Linked DNA regions of Xenopus tropicalis. The main gene of each other region encodes a partner of the protein of the gene in region 2 in a complex. Links are inferred from orthologs where the notes say so. Each region holds a gene or a part of one and is shown on either strand. Other genes may lie near its edges.

Evidence for each region.
Region 1: taf13 (region 2) and taf10 share a complex: the UniProt entries of both Homo sapiens proteins name them as parts of the TFIID basal transcription factor complex. The link is inferred for Xenopus tropicalis from reciprocal best matches to the Homo sapiens genes TAF13 and TAF10.
Region 3: taf13 (region 2) and taf4 share a complex: the UniProt entries of both Homo sapiens proteins name them as parts of the TFIID basal transcription factor complex. The link is inferred for Xenopus tropicalis from reciprocal best matches to the Homo sapiens genes TAF13 and TAF4.
Region 4: taf13 (region 2) and taf8 share a complex: the UniProt entries of both Homo sapiens proteins name them as parts of the TFIID basal transcription factor complex. The link is inferred for Xenopus tropicalis from reciprocal best matches to the Homo sapiens genes TAF13 and TAF8.
Region 5: taf13 (region 2) and taf7 share a complex: the UniProt entries of both Homo sapiens proteins name them as parts of the TFIID basal transcription factor complex. The link is inferred for Xenopus tropicalis from reciprocal best matches to the Homo sapiens genes TAF13 and TAF7.
Region 6: taf13 (region 2) and tbp share a complex: the UniProt entries of both Homo sapiens proteins name them as parts of the TFIID basal transcription factor complex. The link is inferred for Xenopus tropicalis from reciprocal best matches to the Homo sapiens genes TAF13 and TBP.
Region 7: taf13 (region 2) and taf3 share a complex: the UniProt entries of both Homo sapiens proteins name them as parts of the TFIID basal transcription factor complex. The link is inferred for Xenopus tropicalis from reciprocal best matches to the Homo sapiens genes TAF13 and TAF3.

Annotation. Positions count from the first base shown.
Region 1 is NC_030678.2:177,470,029-177,474,774, forward strand, and holds the start of taf10 (transcription initiation factor TFIID subunit 10), read right to left. Parts: upstream 3,147-4,746; 5' UTR 3,136-3,146; coding exon 2,967-3,135; intron 1,916-2,966; coding exon 1,764-1,915; intron 1,530-1,763; coding exon 1,465-1,529; intron 535-1,464; coding exon of another isoform or gene 502-534; coding exon 387-501; intron 11-386; coding exon 1-10. UniProt on the Homo sapiens protein: The TFIID basal transcription factor complex plays a major role in the initiation of RNA polymerase II (Pol II)-dependent transcription.
Region 2 is NC_030678.2:3,373,666-3,378,260, forward strand, and holds the start of taf13 (transcription initiation factor TFIID subunit 13), read left to right. Parts: upstream 1-1,533; 5' UTR 1,534-1,538; coding exon 1,539-1,565; intron 1,566-2,054; coding exon 2,055-2,133; intron 2,134-4,595. UniProt on the Homo sapiens protein: The TFIID basal transcription factor complex plays a major role in the initiation of RNA polymerase II (Pol II)-dependent transcription.
Region 3 is NC_030686.2:4,389,438-4,394,171, reverse strand, and holds the start of taf4 (transcription initiation factor TFIID subunit 4), read left to right. Parts: upstream 1-1,563; 5' UTR 1,564-1,577; coding exon 1,578-1,848; intron 1,849-3,647; coding exon 3,648-4,550; intron 4,551-4,734. UniProt on the Homo sapiens protein: The TFIID basal transcription factor complex plays a major role in the initiation of RNA polymerase II (Pol II)-dependent transcription.
Region 4 is NC_030678.2:70,726,439-70,729,519, forward strand, and holds the end of taf8 (transcription initiation factor TFIID subunit 8), read right to left. Parts: coding exon 2,993-3,081; intron 2,220-2,992; coding exon 2,077-2,219; intron 1,118-2,076; coding exon 986-1,117; 3' UTR 646-985; downstream 1-645. UniProt on the Homo sapiens protein: The TFIID basal transcription factor complex plays a major role in the initiation of RNA polymerase II (Pol II)-dependent transcription.
Region 5 is NC_030684.2:37,696,517-37,700,470, forward strand, and holds part of taf7 (transcription initiation factor TFIID subunit 7-like), read left to right. Parts: intron 1-344; coding exon 345-423; intron 424-1,706; coding exon 1,707-1,840; intron 1,841-2,099; coding exon 2,100-2,226; intron 2,227-2,327; coding exon 2,328-2,386; intron 2,387-2,551; coding exon 2,552-2,624; intron 2,625-2,762; coding exon 2,763-2,867; intron 2,868-3,651; coding exon 3,652-3,819; intron 3,820-3,952; coding exon 3,953-3,954. UniProt on the Homo sapiens protein: The TFIID basal transcription factor complex plays a major role in the initiation of RNA polymerase II (Pol II)-dependent transcription.
Region 6 is NC_030681.2:50,706,290-50,710,480, forward strand, and holds the start of tbp (TATA-box-binding protein), read left to right. Parts: upstream 1-1,391; 5' UTR 1,392-1,482; coding exon 1,483-1,533; intron 1,534-2,158; coding exon 2,159-2,478; intron 2,479-3,635; coding exon 3,636-3,723; intron 3,724-4,191. UniProt on the Homo sapiens protein: The TFIID basal transcription factor complex plays a major role in the initiation of RNA polymerase II (Pol II)-dependent transcription.
Region 7 is NC_030679.2:83,684,578-83,688,588, reverse strand, and holds part of taf3 (transcription initiation factor TFIID subunit 3), read left to right. Parts: intron 1-1,441; coding exon 1,442-1,548; intron 1,549-4,011. UniProt on the Homo sapiens protein: The TFIID basal transcription factor complex plays a major role in the initiation of RNA polymerase II (Pol II)-dependent transcription.

The DNA.
Region 1 (4,746 bases), about 170 Mb from region 2:
ATTTCTTATCCTGCCCAAAGAGAAATCACATGACTGCCTTGTGCCTCTAGAGAGGGAGAATCTCCGGCGCTGACCCAGACAGTACCAAGTATGTGCCTTGGCACCGACACAGGACTAGAGCAGGAGGGCATCATCTCGGGGTTACTGGGGTCTCTCTACCCCCACCCCCAAAATCATTATCCAATCGGCTCCCTACATACTTACCCCCCAGCCCTGACTATGGAGCAGCAATGTGAGGGCACATTCATTTCTATTGGGTGCAGCCCATACCTAGATGTGTATAGGAGATCTAGGAGCTCTCTCACTGGCTGCTTGTAACATTGGGCGGAACAAAGGGGCACCTTGGGCACAATAGCCCCACTGAAGGGCATTTGCTGGCGGGGTACCTTGCTTTTGCTGCGAGAGCTCCCGGAGGCCGTCCCCTTCATCTTACAGTGCTGCAAGGCGTCATTTGCAATGTCAGAGATGAACTTCTGAGATGCCAAGGAGATCAGCCGGATTCTAGGAGAGACAAGCGGTGGGGTCAGCGGATCACTACAGAGATCGAGAGGATCCGGTGTGAAATTCAAAATAAGCGAAGTCAATACAGATGCTGTGCTGAACTCATAGTAATCACCATACAGGCCTGATTGGATAACTGCAGTAAGACTAATGAAAGCAACTCTGATTGGTTGCTAGGGTTAAAGGAAAAGTAACACTAAACATTTTTAACTAAAAAAATCTATTCTACCCTCCCCCAATAATTGCCCTATCCTGAAATCCATTTGTTATTGTGAATGCATCAACTATGCGGTGATCGACTGATCTAGCCCCTGACTTCTGTATATAGGAATGAGTCAGGCTAGGCTCGATCAGTCGATCACCGCATAGTTGATGCATTCACAATAACAAATGGATTTCAGGATAGGGCAATTATTGGGGGAGGGCAGAATAGATTTTTTAGTTAAAAATGTTTAGTGTTACTTTTCCTTTAAGGGCCGATTCGGGTCCTTCAGACCAATTCAGCAGCTTATCTGCCCGTGTATGGGCACCCCCCGACGGGCCTACCCAACCGATATCTGCCATTGCGATGGTTTGGCCCTAGCCCGGTATTGCCCACTGTAGGTGGAGAAGATCCGCTCATTTGGCAATCTCACCAAACGAGTCTCCACCAATTACATTACAGTTCCTAGAAAGCAAGATAAACAATAATAAAGAGGGATAATACATATAACGGAATGGCAGCACCAGAACGGGCACTTTAACCCCTATTTAGGCCTCCAGTTGCTGTGGCCATAAGCGTGACTGTCAGCTCTCCTGGTAGGCACAGAGCAAACGGCTACTGGCCACGGCGGCCCATAACCTAGCGCTACAGGCTGGCCAGAATAAGGGAAGGTTCTTCCTAGTCGAGGCAACTGCTACAGGGCTCTGAGAAGCTCCGGTACCCACGGGCCAATAACGTATGGCAGCAGGAGTTGTACTTACATGCGTGGGTCGGATGCTTCAAACCCGGCCCGGTTCAGGTAATATCCAGTGACGGCATCTGGGATCTGCAGGAAATCGGGAGAAGGAATGTAAAGCAAATGTTGGAACAGATACAAGCAATGATACAGGGAAACAATATGGCAGCTCCCACCAACAGATATACATACATACAGAGAAATGATGTTCTGTAGGCACAAGCTGCACCCTGACACTGTGTAAGGTGGGGCAAATGCCTGGCACTGCCCCCCCCCAGTACCCTAGGGCACAGCATTTCCCATACAGACCCAAGGGACACTTACCGTAGGGGTATAGTCCTCCAGCTGCATCAGGAAATCCACCAGGGGGGTAGTGGAAATGACAGGTTTGACATCGCCATTTGCCACCCCCGGGGGCAGGTACACGCCATTAGAGAGGGATCCCTCGGAGGGGGCAGCAGCCGCTGATGCAGGGACTGGAGGATCAATAACAGAACATACATTGGAATTGGAAAGGACTGGGCAATAGTCACACAGCCGGGCACTTACCTGCGCCCAATTCTCCAAATACCCCCCCACCCTATCTGTCCCCAAACTGTACTCCCCATTGTACAACCCAGTGGGCACCATTTGCCCCGAAACAGGTCCATTCACCCAGCTCCTTCCATACGTTCCCCTTCTCACCCCCGGCACCACTCCTACCCCCTGCCCTAGCAAAGGGCAATTCTCAGCTATGACAGCCCCCTCCTCTCTAGCTGCCCCCCGGGACCCCTTTCATCTCCAGCTGCCCCCCGGGGCCCCCCTCTCATCTCCAGCTGCCCCCCGGGGCCCCCCTCTCATCTCCAGCTGCCCCCCGGGGCCCCCCTCTCATCTCCAGCTGCCCCCCGGGGCCCCTCTCATCTCCAGCTGCCCCCCCGGCCCCTCTCATCTCCAGCTGCCCCCCGGGGCCCCCTCTCATCTCCAGCTGCCCCCCCCCGGGCCCCTCTTTGCTCCAGCTGCCCCCCCCGGGCCCCTCTCATCTCCAGCTGCCCCCCCGGCCCCTCTCTGCTCCAGCTGCCCCCCGGGGCCCCCTCTCATCTCCAGCTGCCCCCCCCGGTGCCCCTCTCTGCTCCAGCTGCCCCCCCCGGGGCCCCTCTCTGCTCCAGCTGCCCCCCCGGGCCCCTCTCTGCTCCAGCTGCCCCCCCGGCCCCTCTCTGCTCCAGCTGCCCCCCCCGGGCCCCTCTCTGCTCCAGCTGCCCCCCCGGCCCCTCTCTGCTCCAGCTGCCCCCCCCGGCCCCTCTCTGCTCCAGCTGCCCCCCCCGGGCCCCTCTCTGCTCCAGCTGCCCCCCCGGGCCCCTCTCTGCTCCAGCTGCCCCCCCGGCCCCTCTCTGCTCCAGCTGCCCCCCCCGGGCCCCTCTCTGCTCCAGCTGCCCCCCCGGCTCTCCCTTTCCCCTCCATGCTTGGGTTTCTCTCCCCAGGCCTTTCCTGGAGTCCCAGTCCCCTGTGAGTACCCCCCCCTCCCTCTCCGGTTCAGTTGCTGCCGCTCACCGCTGGCTCTTCGCTCCCCCGTGTCCCTCCCGGGTAGAGCAGCTGCAGAGGCCGCGGCAGGCCCGGGTTTGGGAATGTTTGCCGGGCTGGGCTTACTCTCTGGGGCCGGACCGGGCTGGACTGAGGCAATAGCAGATAGAGAGTCTGGCGCTGTCTCCGTCCCGCTCATCTTCACCCTTGGACAGGAACTTCCGTCAACACCCGGAAACAGCTCCTCCACTTAATCTCCTCCCCAAAACAACGGGCAGTGCCTTTACGCCATCTTCCTGCAAGGCGTGTCCCAGCGCCCCCTACCGGCCAATGCGGCAGCTACACAGCTCAGGAGAAACATAACCTTACGTAGAAAGCCCATTGGCTACCTGCCAGGGCGCGGCCATTTACTGGCTTAAAATGTTGCCAATCAAAGCGGTGATAGCAAAGCTGCGTTAGGATTTGAACAAAGCCAGACTGTGATTGGATGTCGCTTGGTTACGTGCTGAGGCACGCTAGAGTGCCGCCATGTTGCTACACACGGAAATGAGCTTAGCGAAGTGCATGGGAGTCAGACTGACAGTGAGGCGCGACACCAACTCCTTCTTCTGAGCGTGAAAAGCGCCACAGGCAACCAAACCGGGGCTGTTAGGAGCCGGCGGGCTGGACTTTACCCTGGGGCAGGGGCTGCTTGAGGCCAGTATTTGGGTGTAGCAATATGGCGGAGTTCGCAGACCGAAAACGGACTGGGAAACCACAAGAGTGAAAACCGGATCCAAATTGCTCCGACATTGATTCACTGAGCAAGTGGGTGAGTGTCCGCCTCCCGGGAGCTGGGACTTTCTTTTTATTGATCCACCCCCCCCCCCCCCGCCTCCACTCAGGCAGCCATTATGGGGGTCTCTTTACACTCACTGTCAGTAACTAACCCACTCACTGTCAGTAACTAACCCACTCACTGTCAGTAACTAACCCACTCACTGTCAGTAACTAACCCACTCACTGTCAGTAACTAACCCACTCACTGTCAGTAACTAACCCACTCACTGTCAGTAACTAACCCACTCACTGTCAGTAACTAACCCACTCGCCGTCAGTAACTAACCCACTCACTGTCAGTAACTAACCCACTCACTGTCAGTAACTAATACACTCGCCGTCAGTAACTAACCCACTCACTGTCAGTAACTAACCCACTCACTGTCAGTAACTAACCCACTCACTGTCAGTAACTAACCCACTCACTGTCAGTAACTAACCCACTCACTGTCAGTAACTAACCCACTCGCCGTCAGTAACTAACCCACTCACTGTCAGTAACTAACCCACTCACTGTCAGTAACTAATACACTCGCCGTCAGTAACTAATACACTCGCCGTCAGTAACTATACACTCGCCGTCAGTAACTAACACACTCGCCGTCAGTAACTAACACACTCGCCGTCAGTAACTATACACTCGCCGTCAGTAACTAACACACTCGCCGTCAGTAACTAATACACTCGCCGTCAGTAACTAATACACTCGCCGTCAGTAACTAATACACTCGCCGTCAGTAACTAACACACTCGCCGTCAGTAACTATAACACTCGCCGTCAGTAACTAACACACTCGCCGTCAGTAACTAACGACACTCGCCGTCAGTAACTATACACTCGCCGTCAGTAACTAACACACTCGCCGTCAGTAACTAATACACTCGCCGTCAGTAACTAATACACTCGCCGTCAGTAACTAACACACTCGCCGTCAGTAACTAAGACACTCGCCGTCAGTAACTAAGACACTCGCCGTCAGTAACTAACACA
Region 2 (4,595 bases):
GTGTTACAGGCACAGGGCCCTAGGGCTCCCCCTGTATGCTGCCAATAATGCCAGTGTTACAGGCACAGGGCCCTAGGGCTGCCCCCTGTATGCTGCCAATAATGCCAGTGTTACAGGCAGGCACAGGGCCCTAGGGCTGCCCCCTGTATGCTGCCAATAATGCCAGTGTTACAGGCACAGGGCCCTAGGGCTGCCCCCTGTATGCTGCCAATAATGCCAGTGTTACAGAGGCACAGGGCCCTAGGGCTGCCCCCTGTATGCTGCCAATAATTGCCAGTGTTACAGACAGGCACAGGGCCCTGGGGCTGCCCCCTGTATGCTGCCAATAATGCCAGTGTTTACAGGCACAGGGCCCTAGGGCTGCCCCCTGTATGCTGCCAATAATGCCAGTGTTACAGGCACAGGGCCCTGGGCTGCCCCCTGTATGCTGCCAATAATGCCAGTGTTACAGGCACAGGGCCCTAGGGCTGCCCCCTGTATGCTGCCAATTAATGCCAGTGGTTACAGGCACAGGGCCCTGGGCTGCCCCCTGTATGCTGCCAATAATGCCAGTGTACAGGCACAGGGCCCTAGGGCTGCCCCCTGTATGCTGCCAATAATGCCAGTGTTACAGAGGCACAGGGGCCCTAGGGCTGCCCCCTGTATGCTGCCAATAATGCCAGTGTTACAGGCACAGGGCCCTAGGGCTGCCCCCTGTATGCTGCCAATAATGCCAGTGTTACAGGCACAGGGCCCTAGGGCTGCCCCCTGTATGCTGCCAATAATGCCAGTGTTACAGGCACAGGGCCCTAGGGCTGCCCCCTGTATGCTGCCAATAATGCCAGTGTTACAGGCACAGGGCCCTAGGGCTGCCCCCTGTATGCTGCCAATAATGCCAGTGTTACAGACACAGGGCCCTAGGGCTGCCCCCTGTATGCTGCCAATAATGCCAGTGTTACAGGCACAGGGCCCTAGAATAATGCCAGTGTTACAGGGGGTATAAAGTCCCAGTACAGGGAAGCTGGGAACTATTTCTCTCCCAGTGCGTGAAACTACACAGTAAACATGCCCAACTGTTATTAAACAAAACTACAACTCCCAGCATCCTTAGAGGCGCACTCGGAGCTGTTTCTGAACCCGTTGGTGTCACTCCCGCCCCGCAAATGACGCATTACCGATACCGCCGCTCCCCGACTCTATCTTCCCTTTCTCCGGCTGGTGTAGAATTCAAATCCTGGCGCGTCTAACGGACCAATCAGCGCGGATGCTGATGACGGAAGTCACTTAGCGACTAGAGTGGCTGCAAGGAGCGCCGTTTGCGGGTGGGAGTTACCACACACAGCCCAGGGCGGGCACTACAGGGGTTATATGTGCCCTCAGCGGGGTTTCTATTGTTCCATCGTTACGAAAATCTAAAACTGAGGCGTTTGGGGGCGTGGCACATTCTGCGGCGCCATTTTGTTACACCCGGAAGTTCCTTAACTTGGCTTTATTACACGCCGGAAGTGGTAGAGTGGAGGTGAAATTGTACTGGCGGGGCAGTGCGGGGAGGAGCAGACATGGCCGACGAGGATGAGGATCAAACGGTAGGAGCGCAGAAGGGATATAGAGCGGGAATACACGGGTGGCTTGGTCCTGTTTCATGGGCAGGCCCACTGGGCGCCATTAGCGGGTCAGGATTCGGAGTTGTATTCGTAGTATCACCCCTGTGCCAATGGTTTGTTCCAGGTACTCAGGCTGCTGCTGTTAGAGAGACCGGGTAGCTGTTACAGTCTGGGGAGTAGGATCAGTTCTCCCTAATATCCGGGTTTGTGTGTCTGTAGCTAGGAATTTCCGGGCTTTATGAAAGTGACCAACTGCAACTAGTTACTGCCATCATTGCTATATGTACATAATGGGGGGCAGTTGCCCTGTGTCCCCCAGCTGTTATTGCTGTGCTGCCATTGCCATTATTTCTGTACTGAGGGCCACAATGAATTTCTCTATAGATGTTGGTGGCAAAGCTGCCAGGGAATAGACAGCGGGTTCAGCTTTGCACTGGGTTCCACTCATCCATTGTTCTTTTACTCCTGCAGTTTGAGGATGAGACGGAAGAAGCCTCTGGATCGGCAGAAGGAGGTCAGGGGAGGCGGAAGAGACTCTTTTCCAAGGAGTGTAAGTTCTTGTTTGGATCACAAAGAAGCGTATTTAAGCAGGGAGCCGCAAGCTTTCATACCCACGAGCCACGTTCAAATGGAAAACGTTTTGGGGAACAACACAAGCGTGAAAAAAGTTCCTGGTGGTGCCAATGAGAGCTATGATTGGCCATATGGTAGCCCCTATATCAGTGGTTCTCAACCTCCCTAATGCCGTGACCCTTTAATACAGTTCCTCATGTTGCGGTGACCCCCAACCATAGAATTATTCCTAAGACCATGGGAAATATGTGTTTTCTGATGGTATTAGGTGACCCCTGTGAAAGCGTTGTTCCACCCCAAAGGGGTCCCGACCCACATGTTGAGAACGGCTGCCCTATGTTGACTGGAAACCTACAGAAGGCTCTGCTTGGCATTTACACTGGGTTTTTATGCAGCCAAAACCTGCCTCCTAAGCAGAAATTCAAAAATAAGCAGCTGCTTCGAGGCCACTGGGAGCAACATGTTGCCCCCAAGCTACTGGTTGGGGACCACTGAATTAAAGGAATACGGTCATGGGAAAACTGTACTGAATTTCAGTGAATGGGTAAAGTGTAATGTCCCACAGAGCAAATTAGTCGCCCGCAATAGATCTCTGCTACCGTGGGCGACTAACCACTCTGAAATGGCTTTCCAACGACAACAAAGGGAATTGCTGGTTGAAAGGCCTACGCACAGAGTTTCCTCCTGCAGGTAACTTCATGCACCTAGGGAGATCGAATCCATTGCCTTTGTTGCTAGTGGAAGAGCATTTTGGGGTGGTTAGTTGCAAGTTAGTGATGTGCGGACTGGCCCGGTACCTGCGTGTTGGGTGGGTTTGGGCCGAACTCGGCACATCACCTGCAGGTTGCGGGTGGGTTTGGGCTGAGCTCTTCCGCTCGCCCTCCCCGCCGGGGACCTGTACACTGCTCTCTTCCAGCTTCTCTATTTATATGCGCGCACCCAGAAGCCCCAACCCTTTTGTGGCGTCATTGCAGGGCGGGTGCGGCTCTATAAATAGAGGAAGGAAGCCGGTTCGGGGTGGGAGCAGGTGGTTAGGGTCTGGTGTGGGTTGAGAAAATCTCAACCCGCACATCACTATTGCCTGTGGTAGCTGAGATCTATTGCGGGTGACTAAATCGGCTAATGTCCCATGGAGTGAACAGGCAAAACTGGCTCTACACCGTCCCAGTAGTTTAGGGTGGTTCTAGGCATTCCTCTGCCAGCTAAAAAAAAATAATATATATACACACAATGTGCACTTGTAAATAATGGTACAATTAACTTCTATAAACACCAGAAATAATTTTTTGCATAATAAATGAAAACATAATTCTAAACAACTTTCCAATGTGAATGTATTTAAATTTCAGTGCTTTGAAAGTTGTGTAAATGTAATTGCTATTAAAAGCAGCATTTGCTGAACTCCTGGTTGTTACTATTTAAACAGTGTTGCAAAGGTCAGTCTCCTCCAGCGAGTCAGGTCTGTCAGGCTGTTGCCTTGTGTTAGTGTTTCAGGGGTCGGTCTCCCCCAGCGAGTCAGGTCTGTCAGGCTGCAGCCTTGTGTTACACTGTTTCAGGGGTCGGTCTCCCCCCAGCGAGTCAGGTCTGTCAGGCTGCTGCCTTGTGTTACAGTGTTTCAGGGGTCAGTCTCCCCCAGCGAGTCAGGTCTGTCAGGCTGCTGCCTTGTGTTACACTGTTTCAGGGGTCGGTCTCCCCCCAGCGAGTCAGGTCTGTCAGGCTGCTGCCTTGTGTTACAGTGTTTCAGGGGTCAGTCTCCCCCAGCGAGTCAGGTCTGTCAGGCTGCTGCCTTGTGTTACACTGTTTCAGGGGTCAGTCTCCCCCAGCGAGTCAGGTCTGTCAGGCTGCTGCCTTGTGTTACACTGTTTCAGGGGTCAGTCTCCCCCAGCGATTCAGGTCTGTCAGGCTGCTGCCTTGTGTTACAGTGTTTCAGGGGTCAGTCTCCCCCAGCGAGTCAGGTCTGTCAGGCTGCTGCCTTGTGTTACACTGTTTCAGGGGTCAGTCTCCCCCAGCGAGTCAGGTCTGTCAGGCTGCTGCCTTGTGTTACAGTGTTTCAGGGGTCAGTCTCCCCCAGCGAGTCAGGTCTGTCAGGCTGCTGCCTTGTGTTACACTGTTCCAGGGGTCAGTCTCCCCCAGCGAGTCAGGTCTGTCAGGCTGCTGCCTTGTGTTACATTGTTTCAGGGGTTGGGTGAGTCAGGTCTGTCAGGCTGCTGCCTTGTGTTTGCAATTATATATGCAAATGACGCAAAAACCATTACAAGTTTATAAGGAATGTATATTGCAAAGTTGCTTAGAATTAGGTTTTCTTTTATTAGGCAACAAATGCTATTTTGGGTTGACTTTTCCTTTAACTCCAGATCCTAAATACATTATGCAGTGGGGGGCAGAAGTAGTGGCATCCAGAATACATTAAATACAGCGAGAAGTAATGGGAACTTTAGT
Region 3 (4,734 bases), on a different chromosome or scaffold from region 2:
GTGGAAAATGCCCTACGGCTTCATATTGACAGAAGCCAATTATGCTTATGCTTTGTACCGCACAGTGTGCACTCGTGGTGCTGTATAAATAATATATCCAGATGGGAATTAAAGGGACAGTGCACCGGCACCACCTAGCCAATGGCTGAGCAGGAGCAGTCTTCCATTATATAATAGGTTAACGTTTTGTGTTTTAGCGCTGCCTCACAACAGGAGGCCAGTGGCACATTCTTACTCTTTGGTACATAAAATAACATGGGACCCCAATACTGCTTGGGGTTTCCCTTTGATTGCAAGCTCTTCTGTAAAGTGCTGGGTACCATACAGGCACTCTATAAAGTATTGAGGAGAAATCCGATAGAGGGAGGATACAGAATCAGAGCCTACTCCCTAACAGAACCCATTCCAGAACCTTAAGGGACAGAATTCTTCTCATTGGACAAAACCTGCAGGGCCCCTGATCACCCCCCCCCCCCCCTCCAGTGATCCTTTGGGGATCCAGTTTCCAGTCATGACTTGTAGATCCACTAACCTATCATTTATTGGGGATTAACCCTCTAAACACTGTGCAGGGAAAATCATCACCCCATGTAGATTGTATCTATCCCTTATACAGCCCCATACCCTCTCTAGTTGCCCAGTTTGTTACCCCACAATGGGGCAGTCACATTAACCCCCGGCCATGTCCATTTCCCAAGGCCCATTGAGTACTTAGTCCCCATTACACCACTTCTTATAAATAAATAAATAATCTAGTAGAATTTCTATTTGGCTTTAACTCCCCCATCACCATAATAACCCCAATACCCCTGCCCAGATACTATACTGGGGTACTTATTGGCTCTTATACCTCCAAACACTGCCCTAGGGTAATCATTCACCCCCTATAACCCCCATTACACCCCCAACAACTCTACTGGGATAGCTATTCAGTTCCCAAGGGATATATATACTTATTTACCCATATGCCCCTCTTATCCACCCACATACCCCTTTATTTACACCCCCCTACACTCCTTCCCAGATACACAAGCTTCTCCCTGCCCATAGTCACGGGAACCACATTAGTTGTAAAACTACAACTCCCAGCATGCCCCTCCGCCTAAGCGGCACGGTCGGTAGACAGCGGATCCCACAAGCGGCAGTAGTGCGTTTGTCCGAGCCCTGTATGAGGTGTCCCACCCACCCGGTGACAGGAACGCCCCCTCCCTCCCGGTAACCCGCAGCGGGCGGCAGACAGGAGTGGCGGCGGGACACCCGCAGCAGCCATTTTGAATTGAGCAGACAAAGAGCGCGCGTTTCTGTGGCGGGGCGACTTTCTCCGCTTCAGGCGTCGCCACGCCACCCGGTTTCCCGCGCAGACCCTTCCCCGACCGCCCCCTATTTTTGTGCCTCCCTCCCGTTCCACCGACCCCGCTCGATCCCCTCCTGCCCTCCCAATACCGCTCGCAGCCATTTGCCCGCTCCTTATGTAGCCATGAAGCAGCCAATGGGAGCGCCGCTCCGGTGTGACGTAATTGCCCCGCCGCGCAGGCGCACAGAGCTGCTGCCCTCCTGAGTTGAGCGGCGGAGTAAAGATGGCGGCGGGTTCGGATCTACTGGATGAGGTTTTCTTCAACACGGACGTGGACGATAAAGTGGTCAGCGAGCTGGTGGGATCCCTGGAGTCTCAGCTGGCCGCCGCGGCCCACCAGCACCATCATCACCACCACCACCAGCAGCAACCCCCCGCCGAGGCCCGCAGCCAGGCCCTGGCTAACCATGTCACCAGCCCGGGGGTAGGGGCAGCCAGTGCGGGGGGACAGCCTGAAGCCAAGATAGGGCTCTCCCCGGAGGTGCCTAAGACGGGTGAGGCCTGGGGGCGCCGAGCTGAGCGGGCAGGGGGGCCGCGGGAATGTTTTGGCGGCCGGCGGGCTGACTGGGGGCCTTCAGGGGCTCTGCTGGGTGTGATGGGCCCCGGGAAACGCTCTGGGGGCCCCACATGGACTTCTGGAGTTGCTGCTCTTGGAAAACTGGATACTTGTACTACTTGGCGCCTGTGGAGTGACTTGGAGGGGGGCCAAGGGCTTTGGGGGGGCACATTGGCCCATAGGAAATAGAATTGGGGGTACACATGGACTCCTGGAGCTGCTGATGGCTGGCGACTGGATATTTGGGGTATCCGGCAGTTTCCTGGGGTAACCGGGCAGCCTGGGGGCATTTGGGGGGTATACTGGGCCCTGGGCAGCCTTCTGGCCAGTCTCACATGGACTCATAGAGCTGCTGATGGCTGGCGACTGGATATTTGGGGTACCCAGCAGTTTCCTGGGGTAACCGGGCAGCCTGGGGGCATTTGGGGGTATACTGGGCCCTGGGCAGCCTTCTGGCCAGTCTCACATGGACTCCTGGAGCTGCTGATGGCTGGCGACTGGATATTTGGGGTATCCGGCAGTTTCCTGGGGTAACCGGGCAGCCTGGGGGCATTTGGGGGTATACTGGGCCCTGGGCAGCCTTCTGGCCAGTCTCACATGGACTCATAGAGCTGCTGATGGCTGGCGACTGGATATTTGGGGTACCCAGCAGTTTCCTGGGGTAACCGGGCAGCCTGGGGGCATTTGGGGGGTATACTGGGCCCTGGGCAGCCTTCTGGCCAGTCTCACATGGACTCATAGAGCTGCTGATGGCTGGCGACTGGATATTTGGGGTACCCAGCAGTTTCCTGGGGTAACCGGGCAGCCTGGGGGCATTTGGGGGTATACTGGGCCCTGGGCAGCCTTCTGGCCAGTCTCACATGGACTCATAGAGCTGCTGATGGCTGGCGACTGGATATTTGGGGTACCCGGCAGTTTCCTGGGGTAACCGGGCAGCCTGGGGGCATTTGGGGGTATACTGGGCCCTGGGCAGCCTTCTGGCCAGTCTCACATGGACTCGTAGAGCTGTTGGTGGCTGGCGACTGGATATTTGGGGTACCCGGCAGTTTCCTGGGGTAACCGGGCAGCCTGGGGGCATTTGGGGGGTATACTGGGCCCTGGGCAGCCTTCTGGCCAGTCTCACATGGACTAATGGAGCTGTTGGTGGCAACAGACTAGAGATTTGTGGCATTTTAGGGTTTTGGGGGTGACTGTGGGGAGATGAGTGCTGTGTGGATCATTAGGGGGCAGTTTGTGCCCCAGGAGAAGATTTGGGGGTCCACATGAACTTTTGGCGCTACTGATGGCCTTGTTGTAGATACTTAGATACCTGGGATTTTCTGGGGGCTATAATGAGCCTTAATAAATGGACTTGGGGGGCAAGAGGCACTATATGGTCATTTGGGGGGGTGTGGGTGAAATTGCCTTATGTGGGGTATGTTCCCCGTGTACTTGGGGAGCTGGCACTGAGGGCACCGTCTATATGCCGCTCACTTACAAGGGGGGGGGGGGGGGTAAATCTTCCTGGGGGCATCATTGGGTTCTCTTGGAATGGTTTGGATTTCTGGGTGGCATGTTGGGTTGTGGGGTTGCCTAATGCCGCTTCTGAGGGGTCCAGTGGGCGTTTGCTGGTGGAACCAAGTGCTGGACCAGAGTGGGTGCACAGGGGTGGCTATCTGTATATTCCGGCGGGTGTATACCCCATAGCTCTGTTTCTTTCCCTGCTGTTTAAAAAAAAATGTCCTTTTTCTCCCACAGGAGCCGCTGTACCCGGAGTACAAGGAGGTGTCATTAACAGCCGCCCACAGACCACAGCACAGCCTGACGGGACTCAGTCTGCTATACCCGAAGCACCAGGAGCTCTTAGCCAGGCCAAATCTGGGGTTCTGGGCAACATGGCTTCCACTCTGCCCAACCACAGTTCAGGTAATGGCAAAAATGCCACCCTACAGACCATGAATGGGAGTAATGTTGTGATTAATTCACACGGACCTGGGGGTCACGGAACCCCCTACCAGGGGAACAGCAATGCCGCTGTCGGCCTGGTAAACAACGGACCGGCTCCTGTCGCTAAGGGTGGAGTGAACCCAGGAGCTAACACCGTTATCCAGACTTCTTTCCTTGGGACTACTAACGTGGCATCCTCAGTCATCTCCTCCTCATCCACATCCACTGCGGGAGCAGCTGGGCAGCAAGCTGGCATGGCGGGCGTACCCACCAGCGTGGCATTGGTGAGACCTCTGTTGCACCAGGGCGTGCCCGCCACTCAGAACGGGAGCAATACTGTGATCAATTCCCCTCTGTCCGCCCCTGCCGGGGTCTCGCTGCAAATGAACAATCAGCCCAGTCCGGTGATCAAGTCGGAATCCCCTAAAACTATTATCCAGCCCCCTCAGCAGAGCCAGCCTAACCCTGGCAATATGGTGTTAGGACAGACTATGCAAGCTGGGCACCCTGGTCCTGGAGGAGCTGTGTCTGCCCCCGGTGCCCCTACAGGAATGGGCAAAGCTACAGTCAGCGCCGTGCCTCCCAACTTGCCAAGGACTCCTACGGCCCTGGCCGGTGGTATCAGGGCTACAATCACTCCCCCTATGCTTGCCCCGCGCGTGCCACAGCCTCAGCAGAACCCGGCGAGCGTTCAGAATTTCCAGCTTCCGCCCGGTAAGTGCACATTTTTATTTATTATGAGAGCAGTTCATTGAGAGAGAAGTTGCCTGCGAGATCTCTGGCTCGGCCCCTCTCTGCTTGTTGTGATTGAGCGAGCGGCATGTGGTGCTCAGTCTGGGACCAATCGCGATGTCAGGCTGATGCGAGAAGCCAAACATAACCTCTTTCTAGCTCATTT
Region 4 (3,081 bases), about 67 Mb from region 2:
ACAGCACTTATATTTGCCTATTTGTGTCTGTAAGTTACCCTTCCATATAGATTGTAAGCTCTACGGGGCAGAGGCCTCCATCCTCTTGTGTCGTTGACTCTTAACTTATTGCAACTGTATCTTGTATTTATTGTTATACTTTGTATTTATCTATTATTATCCTAATAATCCCGTTGGTATTACTGTATTCTACTGTACAGCGATGCGTACATAAGTAGCGATTTATAAATAAAGATATACATACATACATACATGATTGCATCCATAAACAAAAAAAGGCTATGTATCATGCTGACCCACCTACTCTCTTTCCTTTCCACTTACCTAACACTCAATCTATTGTTTATTTTAGTAATTGAATTGCTTTTGGTACAGACATACTAATTTGTCTGCGCTCAGCAAATCAAAGACATTTTCAAAACTGTTTTAAGATCAATCTCTTGTATTAGGTGTATGCATAATATACTTACCAGCCAATCTTATTTTACTACCAAATTGCATACTTAATTAATACTGCAGAAACAAAAGCACATTTACTGCTTTTCATCTATACATTTGGCTTATATTCTAAAATAGCAATAAGTGTGTAAACATTACGTGTATTGTGCACAAAACTAAGCAAAACAAACAAAAAAATACCCTTCATATTTTCAAAAATCTTTTATTATGAAACACCTCATGAGGGACAGTATCTGTGTCCTCAAATCAGGGTATTAAATGAAAAGATATATATTATATCAGGGTATGAAATGAAAGATATATATCCCTATTCAAGGATCCTTATAAGGTTCAAACATTGCATGTCAAGACTCAAATTAAAGTTGCCCATATGGACTCTTAACTTTTCCTGTAATCAACAATACAGAGCAGCCAACTTTAATAAAATTTCAATATCAACATCCTTTTCAAGCTCTGGTAAATGGAGTCACTAATGTCCAGTTAAATATTCTGTAGTTTTTCATTCAGAATCTCAGGGTTGGCTACTCTATTTCTTACGCCTCAGCTTAGGTTTTTTCACAGGTCGTAGATAGGGATTATCTATAAGTGTTTCCTCTCCACCCTTCATTGAATTCTGCTGTAAAACAGATGAATTTTCTTTCTCCATGCCCACCTCGTCCTTGGGAGTTAAAAATAAAATAGGAAGTTAAGCAATAAAATATCAAAATATACCAGGGAAAGGGCACTGGGATGAATTAAGGTCAACAAAAGGGTGAAGCATTCTAAAGCATGTAGTGGATGGCTGAGCAGAAAACAGGTTGAGGAAAGAATGAATAAAGTAGTTAAAGGAGACATATAGCATAAGTGTAACCCCCCCTAAGCTTGGTGACAATAATGAATAATATATTTTTCACTCAGGGGAAAAAAATGCTCATTATCTTTTAAAAGATAATTTATCGGAGCTCTCTCTATATATATATATATATCTGCTCAATTAAGGGGTGGGCATGTTCTAATGGTTCCTGCCATAAGCAGGATGGGGGTGGGGTAGCAAATCACAGCCCTCTAGTCACAGTAGCAAAGACAGGCTTTAGTTCCCTATCAGGTCTACCTAGCTTCTAATTCTTATTATACAGTGCAGTGTGCTAAGTGCCAACAGTTCCTCTGTACAGCCTGGGAAAGGAGTCAGCAGGAAGTGAAAGAGATGAGTGGGACTAGTAGGGATCTGCATTACATTTTTAATAAATCAGCCAAAGCATATCTTTTTTAATGCAGATTCCTTCTATGTTTTTACACAATATGTCTCCTTTAAATAAGGACTACAACAGTATCCAAACATTGTATCCAAGGCTATTGTGATACTAAAATCTATAGTTAGTATTGATGTTGGTTTATGTATGTGAGTGTATATGGTCAGTATATGGTATGTGGTCAGTATAGATTTGTGTGTGCTGGGTTTACTTGGAAGGGTTGAAATTGATGGACTCTGGTCTTTTTTCAACCCTATGGAACTATGAGTAAATTAAGTTAGATAAACAAACATAGGAAACATAACAGTAAAATATAAAGGCAAAGCAGTAAGTTGCATGCGGAATGATAAATATAGGACATAACAAACTCAAGTTTCTCTCCATATACCCCTTGCAGATGCATAGACAGGTTCTCTGCGTCAGTCTGATCATCTTGCTCTGAGGAATCAGTCTCCTCTACTTGCTGCAATTCTAGTTCTGATGGGAGGAGGGCATTCAGATAAGGTATTGAGAGTGGACGTGCTGCAATCACTGGCAAACGAAAAAAAAAAAGCCTCAGTTTTAAATTTAACAAAAACAATATTCTGGATGAGGTACAATAAATCACAGAGGGAGAAAAGAAAAACATATCAGTAAGGAACAAAAGAATGTTCCTGACAAAGTAAGGTAAAATAATATATCTGACTGGGAAGCCAATTAAACATCATATGGAAAATAGGTCTTCCATAATATCTAATAGGAAAAATATTAGTAACAAGCTTAAGTGTATCTTTAAAGACAATATAATATAGCATTACAATATATGCTGGCTTTTTAAAAATAACAGATATACAGTCATATGAAAAGGTTTGGGAACCCCTCTTAATTATTTGGAGTTTTGTTTATCATTAGCTGAGCTTTCAAAGTATCAACATCCTTTTAATATTTAACATGTCTTCTGGAAACGGTAGTATTGGATTAACAGAAAATATGCATCATAACCTGCATATGAAGTTCAAGGCTTAACAAGCTGATTCAACCAATTTGGTGTTGCCAGTAATCAGTATTGAGCAGTTACATGCATTCAAATTATCAGAATTACAGGGGTACCCACATTTTTGCACAGCCAGTTTTTCACATTTGATTTAATTTCATACAACTAAATACTGCTTCACTAAAAATATTTGTTCAGAAAACACCCCATTTCCTGAGAAATTAAATACAAACCACTGTTATCTTTTCTGTTGAAAGTGGAGTAAATTATTATGCAGGCTAAGAGGGGGTTCCCAAACTTTTTTTATATGACTGTAATACAATTAACTCACACGGAAAGGTGCTTGTGTCATCTTTGAACAAACTCTGTGTCTCGCCTGTTTTAGCCATAAATCGGGTGAGGGCCCTTTCCACATCTCTA
Region 5 (3,954 bases), on a different chromosome or scaffold from region 2:
TCTTAAACTCTTAATTTGACAATAGGCTTCATTAGTGCCACATTAAATGCATTGGAAAGTTTAGGGATGGCACACAGTAAATCTGTGCTCTCTTGAGTGGTGTATGTGTGCACTTGACAAAGGTCTGTAGGATGAAAAAATCTCTCGTGTTGAGTCAGCAATAAACCTGGGAACCCCCTTATCAGAAGCCACCAAGTCATCAGACAGACTGTCGCCACTTTCCCAAGTGGTGGAACACAAAAAGAATTAGGGGAATTTTTAAATACTAACTAACAGCTGTCACTGGATCAGGTTCTTTCCTCATCTTCTATTTTTTTTTTTTTTTTTTTTTTTTATTCATTTAGGAATATGCCTCAACAGTTAGGAGGATGGTCCAGTCTGGGAGTGTAAATACAAAAGACAGACTTTCTGTTGAGTTGCATCGTAAGTATTTTAGCAGCCTAGTTTCTGAGGCTGTGAAAGATTCAAGATTTTTCCCATATAAATTGAGGGTGGGGGGGGATTGTTTTAACTAAATAGGGCAAAATTTAAAAATGAACGTAACGTCTCATTCTAATTCCTGTCCCTAAAAGCAAGTTGAAAAGCAAATCAGCAGTCCGCTGAGTAGCTGCTTCTTTTCTCACAGCCTAACAGGCTGCAGCTGGTGCAAGGGGGAGGTTCTCAGTGGACTGCTGATTTGTTTTTACCTTGATTTTTTAATCCAAATGTCACACAACTCTGTCTCTAAGCTGTGTACTGTAGCTGCAAGAGAAAAGCAAGTAACTTGCTTATCACTAGCCAATAAAAGAGGCAAGCACAACCCCTATTGCACAAGCATTTAACTTATGGAGGACATTCTCTATTGCTTTAGTTATCTTTTGAGCTCTAGCCAGTCTAGAGAAAATAAAAAAAACATATATCCTGTCTAACTATAATCAGTCCAATTACTGGATTACAACATACCTATGTATATTATAGAAAATAATTAAAATAAAGAAGAAATACAGATTGTTAGTATCGGTCTGGAATGGAATCCCTGCAGCATATTTGCACTTGATAATTACAAATGTAAAGAGTGGCTCAGGAGGAGCCTTTACCCTGTTGCATGTTTTTAAACTTTGAAGTGATTGCTAATTTATGATGGTTTACTAAGACTGTAGATTGCAATCAATTAGCAATTCGATTTAAACACTTGCCTACAAGTTAGAAATCAGAAGCAAAGATCTGATTGGTTGCTACAGTCCTGGTAAACATGCCCCTTAAAGGAGAAGGAAAGGCAAAGTCACTTGGGGGTGCCAAAATGTTAGGCACCCCCAAGTGACTTTAACCGCTTACCTTGTACCCCGGGCTGGTGCCCCTGTTCGGAGAAAATAGCACCAGCCCGGGGTACCTGGAGCGCAGCACTTCCTCCTTCCGCCTTCAGCTTCCTAAACTGCCGGTGGCCGGGCATGCACAGTAGAGCGAAAAAGCCGACTTAAATGTTTAAGTTCGGCTTTTCACTCTACTGCGCATGCGCGCGCAGCGAAGCCGGAAGGAGGAAGTGCCGACAGCTACCCCGGACTGGTGCTGTTTTCTCCTGACAGCGGCACCAGCCTGGGGTAAAAGGTAGGCGGTTAAAGTCACTTGGGGGTGCCTAACATTTTGGCACCCCCAAGTGACTTTACCTTTCTTTTTCCTTTAATCCTCTATTTATCTTAACTTACTATGTAGTTATGATCTGTTCCCAGCTGATGGACGTCATGGAATTGTACGTGTTGACCGTGTACCACTGGCTGCAAAACTCGTTGATATTCCCTGTGTAGTGGAGTGTTTAAAAACTATTGACAAAAAGACTTGCTACAAGACTGCCGACATCTGTCAGGTATTTGCTGCTTTGTTTTGCCTTTACCTTAAAGTGCCTAGTAAGTACCCTTTCTCCAGATGAGTAATGAAAACAGGTCACATGCTCATTACTGCATTTAGAATAGGGTAACTGCAGAGAAACAAAAAGAGGCAACATGTGTAGTCTTTGTGTAGCTCCAAGTAAGTAACCCTCCGTATTAATACATTCTGTGAATCAGGCCATTTCTTTTATTACTCCAGTAGTTGCATGAATGTCTGCTTTTTTTTTTTTCTCCTAGATGTTGGTATGTACCCTTGATGGAGACCTCTATCCACCTCTTGAAGAGCCAACTGGGACTAGTGACCCAAAAGCCAGCAAGAAGAAGGACAGGGACAGAGAAAAGAAATTTATTTGGAACCATGGAAGTGAGTCTGTTTGTCTTTCATAGTTTGGGGGAAATTGTTCCTACCACTCTTCCTCTGCACACAAGACACACACAATTTTTTCCCCCCTTATGTTATTTCAGTTACACCACCTCTAAAGAATGTGCGAAAGAGACGGTTCAGGAAAACTGCAAAGAAGAAGGTAATTCTGTAGTTATATCATGGTGCATTGAGGGAACCACTTTCTCTTTGGGTTGCATATCGTAATGTGTGATGTGCTGTTTCTTCTTCCTTCCCTACATATTCATCATCTTCCATTTTTCTTGATACTTCTTGATAACCCCTAAGCTTTGTTTTTTCTTTTTAGTATATTGAGTCCCCAGATGTGGAGAAGGAGGTGAAACGGCTTCTGAGCACAGATGCTGAGGCAGTTAGTGTGCGTATCCTTTTATAAACAGCTACCCAGGAGAAAACATATGGTGATCGCTTTGTGATGAGAGAAACATTTTTTGTTCTGGATTTAAACTTATATCTTTATATTTGAGAATCTTATCCTTTCCTTGACTTGCCACCATTAGGATGGGAAGTGATAGCTGAGGATGAATCAAAAGAAGCTGAGAATCTGACTGGGTTGGATGTTTCCCCAGGGATGTCTGGGATCAAACAGGGTCGTGGTTCTTCAGGTAGTTTGTCCTTACCAAAAATAACATTTTTTTTCAGCTTATAAATGTAAATCTCTTTTAGGTCTTGTGCAAACCAATGTACCCTATCATGGGAAGCTGAGGATACTTTGATTCTTAATATATGTGGTATCATGCTGCCCTTGCTATGATACATAGGCAGCTGACTGCCTATGGAAGTGAACATTTCATCGGAAAGGATATTCCAAGCTTCTTTAGTGTTTGCAGAGTTTTTTATCTTGTGTCTTTTCTTCATGCATCCATCTCCCCCCAAAGATCTCTGATTCCAAGAAAGGATTCACAGGGAATTGATCATGTTCTGTCATGAAACTATTACAAACGCCAGTATTGATTTTTTTCTAATAATAATTCAGTAAAGAGAAATGACAGAAATCACTTCTTCCTCCCCTCTTACCTTTAAATCCGTTTTCCTCCATTAATGCTTTGTTTCACTTATTCCATCTTCCTTGTCTCCTTGTAATAACTCCAATGCTCTTTACTTTTTGCAGTGTCTCACAGCCCTTCTGCCTTACTCCATCTTTAATTCACACTGATATTCAGTGCTGGAACAATCTGACCTGCTGCCTGCTGCTAGATTTTCTTCTAACTAAACCCAGCCCTTTTATGGTCCTCTTCACACTTTTTTATTTTGCTCCACATTCCTCTGCAAACATCCATTAAATATGAGCTTATATTCTTATGTTCTTAATTAGCTTTTTTAAATTATTCTTATTCCCTCCATCTTAAGCTCTAACTTGTCTTTCCCAACATGTCTCTCTCTTTCCAGCAGTGGAGAGGGAAGAATTGCGTCAGATCTTTAATGACATCAGTAGTAGCAGTGATGGAGAAGAAGAGGAGGGAGAACGCCAGGAAGAAGAAGATCTTAATATCATGGAGACTGAGGAGGAGCAGAGGGCAGGACAGGATGGTCAAAAGGGAGGCACTAACCAGATTGGTGAGAGTATAGCGGAGCACAAGTTTTTTTTTTTTTTGTTTTTTTTATAGTGAAAGTAATATTTTAGCCAGAGAAGAATGCAGAACTTATGGGGAAGTTGATCTTAATGATATCCCATTTCCCTATGTATCAGTT
Region 6 (4,191 bases), on a different chromosome or scaffold from region 2:
AGTCTAGGGTGGGTATGAGTGGTACAGAAATATGAGAGTTCTGTAGTGCACATGCCCTTGCCCAAGCCTGGCAGGTTATGCCTGAAAGGGGGTGGGGTTGCTGAAGCAGGTAAACTAAGTGGCTGGAATCCCTGAGGATGCCTAATAATATTTACTACTACCAGTCATTTTACTTTTCCTTCTCCTTTAAAGCTGGGCAAATTTTAGATTTGCTTCTTTGGCCTTGAGCTGACCAATTTGATTTGGAGCCATTTTATCTAGTCTAATAGTTTCTACTATTTTCTAGCTCATTCTGTAGTGCTACAGCCTAAACTCAGCAATAAACCTACGGCTCCCTGTACTGTTGAGGCATGATCTTACTGAGTACAATGGAAATTAGGCACTAAGTTATGTACATAAACCAACCTTGTGTTGTGAAACTAATTTGTGCGTTTAATTGGTTCCTCAGAGAAAAAGGTTTAGGGGCACATATAGCAAAATTTGTATTATTGTACTACAAAATCTCAGAATTTAGATATAACAAGGCTTGATTATTACATCTGAATGAATACGTTTATGGTTTTTATAGCTTCTTAGGGCTCTGGCACACGGGGAGATTAGTCACCCGCGACAAATCTCCTTGTTCGCGGGAGACTAATCTCCCCAAAATGCCATCCCACCGGCGATTCAGTGAAATCGCGGAAGTTGCCTTGAGAGGAAACTTCCGCTATTTCACTGAAATCGTGCCGCCACGTATGCCATCCCACCAGCGAATGACATTTTCGCCGGTTGGATGGCATTTCGGGGAGATTAATCGCCCGCGAACAGGGAGATTTGTCGTGGCGACTAATCTCCCCGTGTGCCAGAGCCCTTAAGAGATTTGGAGAAACTAAAACCACACGCAGGTCATTTTACAAATTTTGCTTGAAGGAATCCCATTGTGACATCTGCAAGTGTATAATTTGACTACACCATTTTAGTATACCTTTTTTTGTCATTTCAAGCAATTTGCTGCTGCTAATATTATAAATATCCCCTACATCTTATCTTTTTTTTTTTTTTACTTTATTTGTTCTTTTAAACAGTCATCTAGTTGTTGGGTCACTGATTTATACAGTAGGATTAATAGCAGATTAGCTTCATGGTGTTGTCTTTACTGCTTGCTATGGTCACATAAGGTTGTCATACACTTGCAGGTTCTAGCTGCCAATTTAGTTCCTTCAGACCAATTTGGCAGCTTATCTGCCTGTGTATGGGCACCCCCAACACGGATCGGGGACCACATTGGCTCGTTGTTATGGCCCTCTGTCCTACTGTTAACTTATCACATTTACCAATACAGGTGCTAACTGCTGAATGTAAGCTATGTTTTAATGTTTTTTTTTTTTTTTTTTTTTTAACTTCTTTTTATAGGATTTTTGTCTGCTGCTGGAATGGTTTATTTTAATTTGTAGGAACAGCACACTTTGTTTTATTCTTAGTGGGATTTCCAATTAACGCAACATGGATCAAAACAACAGTATACCCCCTTTCCAGGGGTTGGCATCACCACAGGTAAGTGTGAACCCTTTTTTCCCTTTTACCACAATTCCCCCTCCATAAAATAAAATGCCTTTAAAAGCATTGTAATATTCACTTCATTTGCACTTTCTAAATTGGGGGGTATACGGTATACCGGGTGTGGTTAATTTGGACAACAGATACAATACTGAAGAATGAAAAAATAGAAGAAAAACTTGAGACACAGGCCAATATGCTTCCAACTGACTTAGGGGGGAAATGCAAGTCAGCAGCCAATATTGGCTTCAATGCAAATGTTTCTCTTGCTGGGGCGCTTGTCGTAATAGGTGGAGGAACGCCATCCTGAGGGCTCTTGAACACAAAACAGATGTGTTCCGTTCTCATTCATGCATGTGAATGAATATAGAGCTGCATTTCATCCTATGCTTCCTTGTGGTGGAAAGGAGAAGAAATCCAATTCGGGAGACTGCAGGGTGAAAACACCTGTGTGTAAGAGCCCTTAGCTTGTCCTACTCCATGTGCAGGGCTATACCATAAGATTTTCATTAAAGAAATCCCCATGTACTAAGCCCATTTTAACTTGTGATTCAACTTGTGTGTGGGTTTGAGAGCAAATTTGTTATAATTTTTTTTTTTTTTTTGTCTTTTATTTCTGTAGGGTTCTCTGACTCCAGGGATTAACATTTTCAGTCCGTTGATGCCCTATGGAACTGGTCTGACCCCTCAACCTGTACAAACAACTAACAGTTTATCAATATTGGAAGAACAGCAAAGACAACAACAACAGGCCCAGCAGTCTACATCACAACAAGGCAATCAGGGGTCAGGCCAAACCCCACAACTGTTTCACCCACAGACTCTTACCACAGCACCTCTTCCAGGAAATACACCCTTATACCCCTCCCCAATGACTCCCATGACCCCTATTACTCCTGCTACCCCTGCATCAGAAAGTTCAGGAATTGTTCCTCAGCTACAGTAAGTCTCATCATCCTGGGGGACATTTTGCAGATATCATTTGTCAGATTATCTGTATCTGCACACTTGTCAACAAATCCTTATGTTTGTCTGTACATTTCTGTAGTGCCATAGAGCATACAACTCTGCAAATGGTAAATATTAGATATACAGGAAATGGAAACATATTCTGGCATATTTTAATTTTAGACAGTAATGACTTTATTTGTTATACCACATTTGAGTGTGGCCTGTCAAAATTAAAAGACCTTATCTTTGTTTTACCTTTGGTACTAATGAGTATTTTAACAGTGCTGCATTACCTTTGTTTACCCTGTGAGTGTTACATTTGTTTAAAAAAAAAAAAAGCTACATTTCTTAAAAATATAGGAGTCCATATTAGATTTAAAAGCTACCAGGCCAGGGGTGTGTGTATATATTAGGTCTAGAAACAGATGCAGACGGTTTCCTCATTTCAGACTTTTACACCACATTCTTGAGACTGAATTGATGTCATATTTAAAGTGAAACTTTATTGAGGGAGAAAGACTTGTCTTGATATGTAATTTAGCATGTACAGTAGTATCCTAGTTTTAATGTGTCCTATATCTGTCCAACATGTGTGAAAAATAGAACAAGTAAAGAATTGGGAAATTAAAATAGTTTAGCACTTTTACAAGTACTAATAGTGCAAATTTTTTTTTTGTAATACTTTTTAAAAATTTCCCATGGGGCTAGCCATGTTCATTTCCCAGGGTGCCACAGTCATGTGACTTTTGCTCTGATAAAGGTCAGTCACACTTTACTACTGTGCTGCAGATAGGAGTGATATCATCATCCCCCTGCAGGCGATCAGCAGAACAATGTAAGTTAGCAAGCTAGCAGCTCCCAGTAGATATCAGAACAGTACTCAATAGTAAAAAAAAAAAAAAAATTCAAGTCCAGTAGCTCTGGCTCCTTCTGAAAGCTCAGACTCGGGCACAATGCACTGATCTGGCTGCCTACAACTAAAAAATTACTTTTGTTGGTTTAAGAATAAAATTTTAAATGGTAAATTATTTGCTATGTAAACAGTAATTTAGAAATATAAGTACACAATAAAAATTAATGACTGAATACCTTTAAATACAGTGAGCAAAAATATTTGGATTTGTAATAACTGCTTTTACATTGTTCAGGAACATAGTGTCCACTGTAAATCTTGGCTGCAAACTGGATCTGAAAACAATTGCACTTAGAGCGCGAAATGCAGAGTATAACCCTAAGGTAAGACAAAAGCCTTTGTTGTATCTTATTCACCTAATAGTTGCTTTCACTGTGACAGACGGGGAGATTAGTTGCCACGTGACAAATCTCCCTTGTCGCGAGCAACTAATCTCCTCGAAATACTATCCCATTGGCTGGAATGTAAATTGCCAGTGGGATGGCATAAGCATCGCCGAAGTTTCCTCTCAAAGATGCCGCGTATGCCATCCCACCTGCGATTTACATTCTAGCCGGTGGGATGGCATTTCGGGGAGATTAGTCGCAACTAATCATCTCGTCTGTCACAGCCCTAAATATTCTTATCTATCTGTAAAAGTCATTCAGGAGAACACACTGGTGCATTGTATGGCACTTAATTCTGTAAATGTGTGATGAGAAAAGGATTTCCTGTTTGTAATTTTGTCCTGCCATACCCACTGGGCATAGTATTTTTATGCTGGCCTAGAAGTGGCATGAGGATGGGTTATC
Region 7 (4,011 bases), on a different chromosome or scaffold from region 2:
GAGTTGTATTAACCACCCCATGTGGTATAGCCTTTATAAAGTCCTTTGAAAACACAGGAAAAGAATATGATGACTTCATTGACTTTATTCTAAAGACCCCCTTCATTTGCCGGTGGTTATATATGACCCATGGCTGTTTAATGTACAGTATAACATTTATCAGAAAAATGTTAAATGGTTTGGACCCCCTGCTGCTTTACTCAGAGAATTTCCTTGTAATATTTCTGTGTGTTTTTTTTTTTAAGCAACGATGTTAGTAGTTCATGAACTTTTGAGTTTCAAAATTGCTGCTTTTCCTGTTAAATTTCACTTATCCTTTAATTCAAATTGTTAGATGTCATAAAGTAAACGGAAAGTTACTGAGTAACAACTTTTTATATCCCTGATCTTATCAGCAAATTGAATAGAACCATTTGGCTAATAAGTAAAAATGCTAATAAGGAACAGTTTCCTATAGTGCCAGCACAAAGCATACTTATCTTGTTCTCTGCTTGTAATGCCGAACTATAAAGTAGGAATGCAACGATTTGTACATGTACAGAACAATCCTGAATTAATATATTTACTTTGCTAAAGAGCTGTGAGATCTAAACATAAGTTAAATTAAAGGATCGCTTCCAAGCCTCAAAATTCTTAGTTCAGTTAAGGGCTGTGGCATACGGGGAGATTAGTCACCGGGCGACTAATCTCCCTGACATGCCATCCCACTGGCTAAAATGTAAATCGCTGGTGGGGTGGCATACGCAGCACAGCAAATCACTTTGGTGATTTCGGCAAATCGCTGTGCCGCGTATGCTATCCCACAGGCACTTTACATTTTAGCCGGTGGGACGGCTTTTCGGGAGATTAGTCGCCCTGCGACTAATCTCCCCGTGTGCCACAGCCCTTAGACAACCAATTTTGCTGCTTCATGCTGATGGGTCTGATATATCCCTGCTTTAGGTGGAAGGACTTCAACATAAATATACTCATAGCACTTTCTTTGTCCAGAGAGGTATCCTTCACCTCTTCTGCCCTTTTAAGTTATGTTCTTCCATTTATCTTATCCCAATTACTTCTACTTTGTACTTTAACTGGCAGACTTTATGGTCTCTGCCATCTGCATTACCAATTTATAAATCAGGGCATTTTGGCCATAACACCACGTGCAATGTCATTTCCTGTTACAGAGCAGGAAATATGTGGTGTCCAGCCTTTACAGTTATACAATATAAAATATGCTTGTAGAGTGAATAATTAATTTTAAAATGCTAATGTAACACCTAGCATTGCTAGGAGTACACACATACATACATACATACATACATACATACATACATATACATGACCTGTGATTATGTACAGTCAATCTAAAGTAATTCCAGAAGGCATTAAACTAGATGGTATTTTCCTCCTCCATACTGTAAGGAGTGCGCCATTAACAACTCAGTATCTATTTTAGATCCGAGATGAGTGGGGCAACCAGATTTGGATCTGTCCCGGATGTAACAAAGCAGATGATGGCAGCCCAATGATTGGTTGTGATCTATGTGATGACTGGTACCACTGGTAAGATCTTTTATTCTACCACTTACTTTTTTTTTATTGTTTTCTTTAAAGGGGGCATATAGTATTAAAACAATGTGCCCATGCATACTCCTCTTTGTATAGAAGAAATGTGCTGAAAAGATGTGTTTCGGGTTGAACTATTAAGAATTTCTCCAAAAGCCCTTCTAGTCCCCCCCATCTGGTCTACTTGTTGCTAACTACTTTCCCAGGCTGTGCAGAGCAGGTAGCAGCACACTGCACTGTAGAATAGGAACCAATCAGAAGCTAGGTGGGACCTGACCTGAAACCTGCCTTTGTGTGAATGCAGGGCTGTGATTGGCTATCCATCTCCTACTGTGCTTCCATTTTGCCAATCAGCAGTTATTGAAAATTATAAATATGATAAAAAACCATAGCTTAGAAGAATATTTGCCTTTAGGAAATACATTCATCAAAGTGTCTGTAGCCAGAACATTGTGCAAAGTGGCAAAGAAAATTTCTAACCTCTAAATATACGGGCTGCATGGACAGGCATCCTGCAGGGGTAAAGTGCCACCTAACAACGTGGCACCCCCCTCAGGGATTGTACCTTTTTTTGTTGTGTTGAAAAAGGAACTATAATAAAAGGAAGTTAGAGTCCGGCTTCCAAACCAACATTTGTTAAATGGCCCCACACATCACAGAAACCCCTAAGTTAACTATCACTGCGATCTGTTCATTCAAAAAGTATGAATAAATACCATTTTTTAGGGATGCACCGAATCCAGAATTCAATTCATGCTTGGTTGAACCGAATGTGAATCCTTTAAATCCTGTGACTTTTTGTCACGTAACCAAGGAAGTTAAAAAATGATTACAGTCCTCTTTAGCCCCTCTGTGGCCCAATGTTCGGATTCGGATGTGTATGTTCGGATTCAGTTTGGTATTCAGCCGAATCTTTTATGAAGGGTTTGCCAGATCCCAAAATAGTGGATTTGGTGCGTGGATTTTGATATGCTAAAATCCAGCGACAAAACAGTTCTTTTTCTGCATCATTTGAAATTTTGGCAGGGGAGGAGGGACTAAAATTGCAACAACTTGCACGAACTACATAACCCACAGTGTATTATTACCCTGTGATGTTACTATGACATCACATGTTCAGGGAATTAGAAGAAAAGAAGGCACTCCATAATAATATTAGAAAAAAACAGGGAGCTGTGGGATTTGAAGGATGCAGGCTGAACGCGGGCTCAGAATAGTCGACTGCTGCTGCATTTTTATTTTTTTTTTGAGTTTCAAAGTAGTCAGCCAGATCAGCAGGAGAACAGGGGGCCAGTCTTAGGTAACTGTTCCAAACCATATTATTACATTAAAAATTATGAAAAGGCTGCATATTTCTGCAAGATGTTTCTATTTTTCTATGATTTACCCCTCCGCCAGTGTAAAATTTTAAATCAAACAATTAAGACGTGATTAAAGTGCGCATTCCAGACTTTAATGTTTGGGACAACTGGCTTCAGCTGTTTGTGATACTCAGGCGTGTTGCATTGCTGCATTAGTGCAGGGATAAGGTACCTAAGCAACATGAGGAGAAAAGCCACGTCAATAAAAGACAAGGAAGCTATGAAGATGGAAAAACAAGAATAAAACCATTGGAGACATCAGTCAAACCTTAGAATTGCCAAAATTAACTGTCTGGATTATCACGTAGAAAAAAGTATGCACTGGTGAGCTCTGTTCAGAAGGCAGGTGTGTCTTTGTCAGACTAATATCCGCAGAAGATTTCATGAACAGAAATACAGAGGCTACACTGCAAGATGTTAGCCACAAAAATACCCAGATTACAGTTTGCAAAAAAAGTACTTGAAAGAGCCTGCAGAATTCTGGACAGACGAGACCAAGATTAATATGTATCAGAGTAATGGCAAGAGGAAAGTGTGGAGACGAAAATGGACTAAGAAAAAGAACCAAAGCATACCATCTCATCTGTTAAACATGGTGTTGGGGATGTTATGGCTTGGGCATGTATGGCTGCCACAGGTACCGGCACATTTGTCTTCATTGATGATGTAACTGCTGATGGCAGTTGCACATTGAATTTGGAGGTGTATAGAAACATCTTATCTGCTCAAGTTCCATTAAATGCCTCCAAACTGACTGGAGATTGCTTCATCCGGCAACAAGATAATGATCCCAAACAAACTGCTAAGGCAACAGGGAAGCTTCTCAAAGCTTAAAAAATGAAAACATTTTTATGGCCAAGCCAGTCACCTGATTTAAATCCAATTGAGCATGCCTTCCATATGCTGAAGAGGAAACGTAAAGGGACAAGGAACAAGTAGGAGCTAAAGGTGGCTGCAGTAGAGGCTTGGCAGATCATCACCAGAGAAAATACTCAGCAGCTGGTGATGTGAATCGCCATTGCATGCAAGGGAAATACAACAACATACTAAACATGACTGGTTTAATATACCTGCAATTCATTTGTCTCAAACGTTATGG